3 linked regions of the Callithrix jacchus genome follow. Each later gene encodes a partner of the first gene's protein in a complex. Links are inferred from orthologs where the notes say so. Each region holds a gene or a part of one and is shown on either strand. Other genes may lie near its edges.

Region 1 (3,746 bases):
CCCTTGCAGACAGAAAAGGAGGGGAAACTCAAGGAAGCTCAACTTCCCAAGCCTTCTGGGACTCTGCTGGGGCCAAGCCCCACACCCTCCCACAGCCATCCTCCATTCTCCCTCCCCAGCACTGAGCTTCTCTCCTTAAAAGACCAGTTCCCCCACCAGTGAACAATGCACTCTAATCCTCCATTGTAAAAGTAAGGCCCTCTCTTGACGCCCCTCTTCTTCATTTGGCTCCAATCCCATTTCTCTGCCTCCTTTATAGCAGGCCCCCTTGTCTGTGCCTGCACTGCTGTCCCCAAATCCTCCCATCCCTTCTCATCCCCCAAGTTCCCCATCCAGCTCCAGTCAGACTGTTTTGATCATGGTCACCAGTGACCTCCCATTGCTCAATCCTAAGCCCTCAGCCTGCTTGCTCTGCCAGGGGCATTGGTCATAATTGCTCCACCAGGGGCATTGGTCATAATTGCTCCCTCCTTCCCCCTTGGGGCACCCCAACTCTCTCATTTTCACTCTTTCTGTCTTCCTGGCTGGTTCCTAACACCGGGGGCCCCAGCGCTCAATGGCTGGACCCCTTCTCTTCTCCATAGTGCTCCCTTCCTAGATGAAGCCACCTGCTCTTGCGGCTTTAAATACCAGCTATAGGGTGACGATGCCCACAGTTTCATTTCCAACTCCAACCTCCGCCCTTAACTTTTCCCAACTGCTTAATCATCGTTGGTGCCTAATGGACAGCTCACACGACAAGCACAAAACCAAACTCCTGATCTCCCCCGTCGCAACTCCCATTGCAGTTCACGGCAGCTTCAAACCTCCAGAAGCTTGAGCCAAAAACTCAGAATCATCCTTGATTCTACCTTTCTCTTGCACCCCAAATCCTATTGACATAGCCTTTGAAATATATCCCAAATCTGAAGGTCTGGGGTTTTTTTCTATTTTTTTTAACCACCTGTGGGCCATGGTGTAAGCCACTTTGGTCTCTCCCCGGAACAATGTACTGATCCTCTCACCAGGCTCTCCTTTTGCCCTTAGTCCACCCATCACTATCCATTCTCCACCCCACAGCTGGATGGGCCTGCCAGACCCCAAGTCAGAGCAGGTGACTTCTCAGCTCCAAACCAGGGCTCCCACCGCGCTCAGAGTAAAAGCCAAAGCCCCCCCACCCGCCCGCACAGATACTCACAAGGCTCGCCCTTGCCTCCTGATGACTGCCCAGCTGTCGTGGTCTTGGGGAAGCCTTCCCTAACTGTGCTATATACAATGCAATACCCAGCCCCAGCACCCCATCCTGCTTCCCCGCTTTGTTTTACTCGTAGCACTTCCCACTGCCTGCCATGCCACAGATTTACCTCTTTCATTGCTGTCCATTCCTTTCCAGAATGTGCACTCCATGAGGGCAGGGAGTTTAATCTGATTTCCCCATTGCTCAGTCTCACATCTCATTCAGTGCATGAATGATGACTGCTGGAATGGGTGAAAGAATGGATGTGCTCTGCATGGCTCCAGGAGACAGATGTGGAACCAAGTGCAAAATCTGTAAGCCACAGATTTTAGGTAAAGGAAACAAGAGCCGTAAGACACTGAAAAGCCACCTCATCAGTAATAAGCTCCCCACCACCAGGCATGTGTTGCAGAGGGCTTCTGAACTGGGTTGGAGGGAGGTGGGCTGGATGAGGATGCTTCCAGCCTTGATCCCAGGGTGCAGAGAGGCAGAGGGACCTTGCGAGGCCAAATTCAAGGGCTGCAGCAACCCCATGGCTGAGTGATTGGGACAGGCAAGTACAGGCAGTGAGGATGTCACTCTGGTCTTCTTCACTAAGGGGTTGGGGAGGGTGACAGGGCAGGCGATCCCCCTCTGTAGAACAAGGACCTTGGAGGAGGCCAAGTCACAGCCCATGGGAAAACCAAGGCCATGGCAAGAAGCCCAAGGGCTCAGAAAAAGCAAACTTGGAAGCGGGGGTCCAGCCTCCAACCCTCATGCAGCTTCAGGAGGCCCTCCGCAGGGCTATTGGGTGGAGGGCTTTTCAGTTCATTGGAATGTAAGCAGGACCAGACAGCTGCTCCGTCAACTTGAGAAGCAGAGAGCAAACAGCCGGGGGATGTGGCCACACAGGTCCTGGTGTGGGCTATCTGGGGAGGGATGGATTTGAACTTAGATCTCACACCCACCAAGGGAGAAGGAGGAGGCAGGAGATTCCCCTAAGAAGTGCAGACAGCAGCAGTAGGATCCTCCGGGCAGACCCTCTCACACCACTCACTGGCATGGTGAAGATGAGGAAACTGAGTCCCACAGAGAGGAAAGAACTCAAAAGAATGGCGCCCTCAGAGACCTGAAGCCCGGGCTCCTCAGGACTTTCCACTCCTGCCAGGAGCCTCCCCAACCTGGAGATGTCCCCTTTCCTTCTCATGTCCCATCTACACCCGGGACTCCCCCAGGAGAAACCGAGGCAACCCTTCTCCAAGCCCTGCAGCCAAGACTGCTAGACTGCTCGGACGGACGCCAAGTGTTCGAGTCCTGGGGGCGGCACCATGGACACCCACAGTCTTCCCGCAGCCCACCCCCAGGCGCTAGGCACAGGCCTCGCGCCAGGAAACAGCACTCACCGCGAGCCGCCGGCGCCCGGACTCCCAGGCCTGCTGTGGGCCACGACTCCGGGCTCCACCTCCGGCTTGGGCTGCGCCTCCGTCTGCGCGGGCGTTCGGCTCCACCCCCGCCTGGACCCCGCCCCTGCTCTGCCCGGACGGCCGCACCCGCTCCAGTCCCAGGCCACGCAGCCCCGAGAGCGCCCACTCCAGGGCTGGCGAGGCTCACAGGGGACAGGGAGGGAGGGCGCAGGAAAGGGGCCGGGCCTGTCTGCGGGGCTGGACGGTCCTGGCTGGGTGCCCTGGTCAGCAGGCCTCCCTTTCTGGGCCTCATTTCAACCAGGAGGGAACCGGACAGTCCTCAGAACAACCCGCTTCCCAACACACACACCACGCACACACTGCTTCCCAACACACATATACACACACACCGCTTCCAACACACACACACACACACACCCCGCTTCCCAACACACACACACACACACACCCCGCTTCCCAACACACACCACACACACACTGCTTCCCAACACACACACCACGCACACACTGCTTCCAACACACACACACACACACACTGCTTCCCAACACACATATACACACACACCGCTTCCAACACACACACACACACACACCCCGCTTCCCAACACACACACACACACACACACCCCGCTTCCCAACACACACCACACACACACTGCTTCCCAACACACACACCACGCACACACTGCTTCCCAACACACACACCATGCACACACTGCTTCCCAACACACATATACACACACACCGCTTCCAACACACACACACACACACACACCCCACTTCCCAACACACACCACACACACACTGCTTCCCAACACACACCACACACACACTGCTTCCCAACACACATATACACACACACCGCTTCCAACACACACACACACACACCCCGCTTCCCAACACACACACACACACACACCCCGCTTCCCAACACACACCACACACACACTGCTTCCCAACACACACACCACGCACACACTGCTTCCCAACACACACACCATGCACACACTGCTTCCCAACACACATATACACACACACCGCTTCCAACACACACACACACACACACACCCCACTTCCCAACACACACCACACACACACTGCTTCCCAACACACACCACACACACACT
Region 2 (3,746 bases), on another chromosome or scaffold:
AAGGTCACCCAGCTAGTAAGTGGGGGAGCTGGTGTTGGAGTTTGTACGGGTCTGAGCCCCAGGCTCATGATTTCCACCCCATGACCTGGGAAGGGTAAACAGGAGATGCAGGAAGAGAAAGGTGATGACTCCAAGGCTTCCCTCTTATCTCACGTGGCCCTCCCCGCCGCTGTGTGCACGGGGCCTGCATCACCCCCACTTTACACCTGGGCAAGCAGAGGTCAGCCCTGGCCTCAAGCGTTCTGGCAGGTGGTGGAATCTGCTTCCCTCACGTGAGGTCCCTGACAGGGTACACACTCATGTCTGCCTGGAGGCCAGGGGCTGACCCATTGCCCTTTGCCTGGCACATTCTGCCCTCACTAGCCCTGGATTTACATCCAGAGTCACCTGATCCCAGCACCAGATTGGTCAGCGGTTCCTGAAATTCCCCCAGGTTCTGTGTGGGAGCAGAGGGAGGACTGGCCCATCCACCCATTATGCAGATGAGCAGACTGAGGTCTTAGCAGGAGTGGAGAGAACCAAGGCCCAGGAGAGAGCCGGGATGGGGCCTGGGGCTCGCGGGATAAAATGCACCGCATGCCACCTCACTCCTTCTGAGACACAGTTTCCCCCTGTGTAGAACAGGGGCAACAGTAACCAGCCACGAAAGCTCCTCGTGCTGCCTTGTCACCGGGCATCGCTGAGCTCACCACCGACTCCACGCCCTGGACTGGCGCCTGGTGCCCGGGCTCAAGTGAACGTTTGTTGGCGCGGGGCTCTCCGTGCGTGTTAGCGAGCAGCGCCGGGAGGTGGCTGTCACCGCCGCCCGCTCACAGAGGCTTAGACTGAGGCTCAGGTGTCACGACCTGCCCGAGGCCAGTCCCGCTGCAAAGTTGCCGACTCGTATCTGAAACCCGGTCTCAACCCAGCAGCTTGCTTTTAACCCCCGGCCTCCTCGCCAGGCCCAGCCGCACCACCTTTGGGGATCTCGGGGTTTTTCCAGACCAAGCACCCAGGAGAACGCGCCCTCGCAGCGCACCCGCCGGGGCTGCGGGTCTGGAGGTGCTGGGCGGGGTCTGGGGGTGCTGGGGGGGGTCTGGCGCCAGCAGGGAGTTGCGGGCTCAGTGGGTCCCGGGAGTGGGCGGGGCTTGCGTGTTGACGGGCAGCGCGAGGGGCGAGGCTTTAGATCAGGAGGGCGGAGTCTGGCCGGGCCTTGTTTTTTCGGGCGGCGGGCGGACTTGACAGAGAGCGAGAGGGACCAGGATCTTGGGCCCACGGGGTGGTTGGGCGTATGTTTGATAGGCAGGGACAGCCGGCGTCTGATAGGCGGGGTACAGGCCTTGGAAACGGGAGGGCCAATCGGCACGCAGGGGTGGGGCCTAAGTTAGCGCTGTTCGGCCGGGGTACACCGGGCGCTGCCCAGTCTGGCTCTGGCGCCGCCAGTTGCGGACGCGTCCCGCTGCAGTCGCTGCCGCGTGCCTCTGCTCCTCCGCCTGACCCGGGCTATCTGCCCGCAGCCATGAGCGTGCTCGGCCCCGGTGGAGCCCGCTGTCCTCTAGATTAGTCCCCGCCGCCGTCCCGGACCGGTCTGCAGCATGGAGTCGCCAGCCTCGAGCCAGCCCGCCAGCATGCCCCAGTCCAAAGGTAGGCGCTCCCCGCCGGAACCTTGTCCTGACCCCGGGCCCAGTCTGGGGTCGGGCTGCAAACTCTGACCGTTCTGTGGTCCCACCCTATCCTGTCCTTGACCTAGCAGCGGCGCCCTGTCCCGGAACCCCTTCCTGTTTGGGTTCCCAGGACCGGCCCCAGCCTGGGACCTCACCTGGATCCCCAGGTTAGGCCTTGGGACTGCACTCAGGCTCGAGATCACCCAGGCTGAACCCAGGCGAGGACTTTGTTCCCACCCATCCAAGTCAGGAGCCCCACTCTGACCTCATTTGGGCCTTATGGCTGCAGCCTAGACAGGAACTCTCCCAATCTTCTCCGTCAGCGGGACCCGGGTGAGATTCACACTGGCCCCCACCTGGATCCTTGGTCAGCACCCAGTCCCACGTCCAGTTTCGGGACCCAGGGCTGTATCTAGGCTGGGATATCGCTTGCGTCTCCATCTGGGCCCCAGAGTGCTCCTGTTGTTGCGGGCCTCACTGTAGCCCCTATGTGGGTGCTCTGGCTATACCCCAGCTCAGAACCGCCTGACCTCCTCTCCCCCAACTCTCCCTCTCCTTTAGGCCCTATGTTACCCCTTCCCTGGCTGACCTCCACCCCGTCCTGCAGTCCTGTGTCCCCAGGAACCTCCCTTGTCCTCTCACCCCTCCGTAAGGTGCAGCCCCCTCTGTACCGACTCCTCTCTGAGTTGCAAGCTTCTCCCTGCACTTGGGGCGCTCACCCCATCTGGTTCCCGTCCCAGCTGCCTGGGATCTGGGCCAGCCGCCAGGCCAGGGTGCTGGCTGTGCAAGGGATTTGCTCTTCTCCAAGTAGCTGGCTTTCCTGGAAATTTTTGTGAGGTGGCGGCAGCAGGATTTGTCATGCGGAGGGGGGAAGGACGAGACTTGGAGGGCAGAAGGGGAATTTTTTTTTTTCAGGAAGAGGAGAGGATGTTTTTGGTGCGTCGGAGTTTCAGCAGGCTGTGTTGTGAGAGATTTCCAAACCGGACATAGCTGTAATGAATGGGCTGCCTCACCCCAGCAAGCTCCCTGGTGTCTCTGGGTCTCAGTTTTCTTTTCTGTAAATTGGAAGTCATCACACCTGCTTCTGTGGACGCGGGAGTGGGGTGTGGGGTGGTGAATGCTAATGAGCTCTGAGGCGTTCTTTCACTCAAAGAGAGCCTGGCGAGGGCCAGTGCTCACCAGGGGACACCGGCTGCATGCATCCCGCTGTTGCTTTCATTCTTGCTGGAAAGGCCCCCGCTGCTGGGACTCCACTGCAGAGTGAGCAGGAGGCAGGTAGCAGCGGGCACCCCCTCATCAGGGGTCAACCACTCTCCTGCCCTGGAGGGTGCATGCCAGTGGAAGCCCTATGGGGGTCTGGGGAGGGCATGGGCTCTTCCTGGCCCCTGCTGCTGGCTGCTGTGGTGGCTGGAGCCGGGTGGGCAGAATAATTATGCCTTACATAAGTGGGAGGCTGGATCCCTGACAACTGCCCAACCACTGTGAGTAACTCAGGAGGCACTCGCCGGGGGAGGCATCTGAAGAGGGACTTCACTGCACAGACCTCGTGGAGCTTGGGAACCGGGAAATCAGACACTTCTCCACTCTGGAGAGCTCGGGGAGGGGTAAGAAGCACTGTTTGTTTTGGAGGCTTTTTTAGCTCTCCAGGCAGGGAATGCCTCAGCAAAATAAAAGCTCCAGTTGCAGAGTTGTGCAGGGAGAGGGGTCACAGAGGTGGTGGGAGCGCTGTGAGAAGGCCAGGATGAACTTCTAGATGTGAACCCAGGTCCCAGATGAGGTTGGGTGGGCTGAATGGAGGGTCAGGGACCTCCCTCAGGCCCAGGCACTCTATAGCCTCTTCGGGGTCTGGAGAAGTATGTGGTGGCAGAGCCACAGTGCCCCTCACCAAAATCCCTGTGAGCTCCTTCTTTTTTTCCATGTGCCATGCATTTCCTCATTCATTCCTCACAGCCCCATTTACAGATAAGGAAACTGAGGCCCAGAGGCATTAAGTGCCTTGCCTGAGGCCACACAGAGGTGACAGGTGTACTAGGGTTCCCCCAGGACTGTGTGTCTCCACAGAGGTCTTCCCAGTGACCCCCTGTGTGCCGCTCCCATGCTAGA
Region 3 (3,231 bases), on another chromosome or scaffold:
GGTTAGTGAATGCTGAATGGAATCTCAGAATATCAAAAGTAACATTTATTGATTTGATATAGAATAAGTTTGTTGCTGCCTGACTTTTTTGGTTTGTAAAACATGAAGCATTTCACAAGTTGGATCATCCCACCATTTCTACCCTAAGCTGCAGACAGTCTCCTTGCACCCGCACGGGTTTTACCTCTTTGCCTGCAGCTGCTTAGAGCGGTCTTAGAGCTGCAAAGCTGATATTTACTGTCTCGTACCAACAAGGATGTTGGTAATTTTAAATTTCTCTGGCTTTTAGCTTGTGACGTTATTATCTTACTCTGTGTCTGTTTTCTTTTAGATTTTAGATTTTCTGACATCCCAAGGGGCCTTTATGGACTGTTGTTTTTCCCTCTTTGCTCCTTCTTTGGTGAAATTTAGAAAATAATATTCAAAAGCAGTCCTAGGGAGGTTAGGGAGAGAAAGAACCACAAATCTAGGCAATTTAAATCTTTAGTTTCTGATGAATTGTAATGAATGAGATATGCATCATAATCAACATTAAATTCAGTAACCTTTTTTATTACTGAAAAATGACAAGCCAAATCAGTTCAACTCTGACCATGATAAAAACACAAATATCTTACTAAAATAAATACTAAATACTAACTAGCAGAATTCAGCCAAGGGTGGGATGAGTGAGGTACCTGCCTTGGGCACAAAATTTAAGGGGGCATGAAAAGAGGGGGGGAAAGAAAACCCCAAACCAAAAAACTCAATAATCAAGCTAAATGATATTTTAATGCAATACTTTAAAAAGAAAACAAATGCAAAAAAAAAAAAAAAAAGAACAAAATATCAACATGTTAAATAAAGACAAGATCAGTAACAGTGCCTTGCCAGGCCATACTGCAGCCTCAGCCAAAAGGAAAAATCAGTAACACTGATCCTGTCTTTACCTAAAAATGTGAATTTTTTGTTGACCTCACTTGCTTTACCCTAGTCCTGGTCCTGCCAACAAGAATATCAGTGGTTAGGGTAAAAAGATGGCATAACCCTTCCTCTAATGTTCACTTGAGGGAGAAAATATGTGTAGTGATTTTCAAGTCCAGTCATGATCACTGGGCAACCAGAATCCATAAGTTTGGCCCTCGTTTGGCTATAGTCTCAATTAAAAGGTATTTCCCAATCCAAAGCATGGAAGTATTGTCTTTTTGTTAATTCAATCTGAAGGGATCATATTATCAAAAGCCATTACATTTCTTTTTTCTTAACCTGCTTAGAAAAACTCATGGAGTTCAGTTCATCAAAAGTTCCTCCATCCACGGTGGTCCCCTCTGGCTCTCTCTTTATTGGATTTGGCGGGAGAGGGCCTGTGGGGCTTTTTCCGGTATTCCACTTTTGTCCAGCTCCCCTCACTGACTTTGCTCTCCTCTTCACTGGCTCTTGAGTCAGTCTCAGGGTGCAAAGGCATCCCTGGTATGGTCTTGGGTTGGTGGAGGTCCCTGGGGCTTCTCTTGAAGTCAGGGGACTGCTGAGCCTTGAGTGCTGACTGAGAAACCCTGTAGAACTTTCCAGGATATCTCTCTCTTGAAGGAGTGGAATGCTGACTTTTTCCACTGTATCTTCCTCTAGGAGAAGAATTGAGTGATATACTACCACGACCATATTTGTTCCTGCTTCTGTCTGAGTAGCGACCCCGCTCTGAAGAGGTGTCCGTTTTGCCACTGGAAAAGCCGCTGTCCCTAGAGTTGAGATGTAGGGAAGAGAAGTTTTTGTTCAGCCCATACTGAGTAGGAGAGGAGCTTCTGGATTGGTTCACAGGTGTAATCTGTTGATACTTAATGGGCACCTGGGTCCGTCTCACAGCAGCAGCATAGGAATCCTGGCCATCAAAGTGTGAGAAGTATGGTGAGCCCAGAATAGGATTGCTCTGGGAACGCTGTAAGGAAGTGTTGGATGCAATCTGCCGCATCCTCAGAGTATCTAACCACTGGCAATCAGCACCTGCAGGAGAAATGGAAATGAGTATCTTTTAAGCCACACTAAAGCTGCATGCCTAATTCACATGCCTGTCTTAGGATAATTCAAGGCTGTTTGCGCTGCTGTAAGCTTTGCCATTCATAGAAATTCTAGGCTATGTATAAGGACATTTCCTTTATTACAAATACTTTAAAAAATAAGGACATTTACACTTATTGGATAGATGCTGTGTGCTTGGCATTGTTCCATGGGCTTCACTTACACTTTCTCACTTAATCCTCTCAATAATCTTCTTGGGTAAATATTGATAGTCTTATTCGATAAATGAGGAAGCTTGGGAGGTCAAATAACTTGCCCAAGATCACTCAGTCAATAACACCAAGTCCTTCTGCATCTAAATCCCATCTTCTTCCTACATAGTAGTGTTGTCACTTCTAGAAAGTGTGTTCAGGTGTCAGTGGCATGTTTAGTAAACAAAAGGTTTTTTTTTTGCAACGTGCACATTTAAAACCTCAAGGACCCTAAATGCAGATAAAAGAAATGAGGTTCCAAAGGTTGAGACAGCTAGAGATTATTTGGAAGAGAGACCGTTCATGTGTCCAGAGGAGAGATCCTGAGGCTTGGGAATAAAATGTATTTTCAGCAGAAAAAATGAAGCTGCCTTGGCAAGTAGGAAGAAGTTAAGGTAGAATAAAATGGTTGGCCGGGCATGAGGGCTCACGCCTGTAATCCCAGCATTTTGGGAGGCCGAGGTGGGTGGATCACAAGGTCAGGAGTTCTAGACCAGCCTGACCAACATGGTGAAACCCCGTCTCTACTAAAAATACAAAAATTAGCCAGGCGTGGTGGCACGAGCCTGTAATCCCAGCTACTCAGGAGGCTGAGGCAGGAGAATTGCTTGATTGCCCTGGGAGGTGGAGGTTGCAGTGAGGAGAGATCATGCCATGGCACTCTAGCCTGGGCAACAGAGCGAAACTCTGTCTCTCAAAAAAAGGAAAATGGTGAATTAACAAGGATCATTTAGTAAGGTATATTTCAGTGAATAAGCAACTTCCTCACACCTGAGATCTTTTCTATTTTCCTCCGAGCCTGAACAATGTTGCCCATGTTCTAGAGTTCCTCCGTGGTCCTCCAGGCCTCAGCTTCCTCAGCTACTCCACCCCCTGCTCATGCAGATGGCATGTCTGGAGGATATCAGAGCATGCACATGTCTCTGTCTCCCTCACTGCCTAGGCACTCACCCCTAAGGTGAGTGACTTGTCCAGACAATTCCAGAGA

What was found.
Region 2: NOD2 (region 1) and MAP2K3 share a complex: the UniProt entries of both Homo sapiens proteins name them as parts of the signaling complex. The link is inferred for Callithrix jacchus from reciprocal best matches to the Homo sapiens genes NOD2 and MAP2K3.
Region 3: NOD2 (region 1) and MAP3K20 share a complex: the UniProt entries of both Homo sapiens proteins name them as parts of the signaling complex. The link is inferred for Callithrix jacchus from reciprocal best matches to the Homo sapiens genes NOD2 and MAP3K20.

What each region holds. Positions count from the first base shown.
Region 1 is NC_133521.1:8,618,672-8,622,417, reverse strand, and holds the start of NOD2 (nucleotide-binding oligomerization domain-containing protein 2), read right to left. Parts: upstream 2,662-3,746; 5' UTR 2,599-2,661; intron 1-2,598. UniProt on the Homo sapiens protein: Pattern recognition receptor (PRR) that detects bacterial peptidoglycan fragments and other danger signals and plays an important role in gastrointestinal immunity.
Region 2 is NC_133506.1:64,704,173-64,707,918, reverse strand, and holds the start of MAP2K3 (dual specificity mitogen-activated protein kinase kinase 3), read left to right. Parts: upstream 1-1,400; 5' UTR 1,401-1,574; coding exon 1,575-1,623; exon of another isoform or gene 1,624-3,247; intron 3,248-3,746. UniProt on the Homo sapiens protein: Dual specificity kinase. Is activated by cytokines and environmental stress in vivo. Catalyzes the concomitant phosphorylation of a threonine and a tyrosine residue in the MAP kinase p38.
Region 3 is NC_133507.1:56,214,439-56,217,669, forward strand, and holds the end of MAP3K20 (mitogen-activated protein kinase kinase kinase 20), read right to left. Parts: intron 1,978-3,231; coding exon 1,277-1,977; 3' UTR 526-1,276; downstream 1-525. UniProt on the Homo sapiens protein: Stress-activated component of a protein kinase signal transduction cascade that promotes programmed cell death in response to various stress, such as ribosomal stress, osmotic shock and ionizing radiation.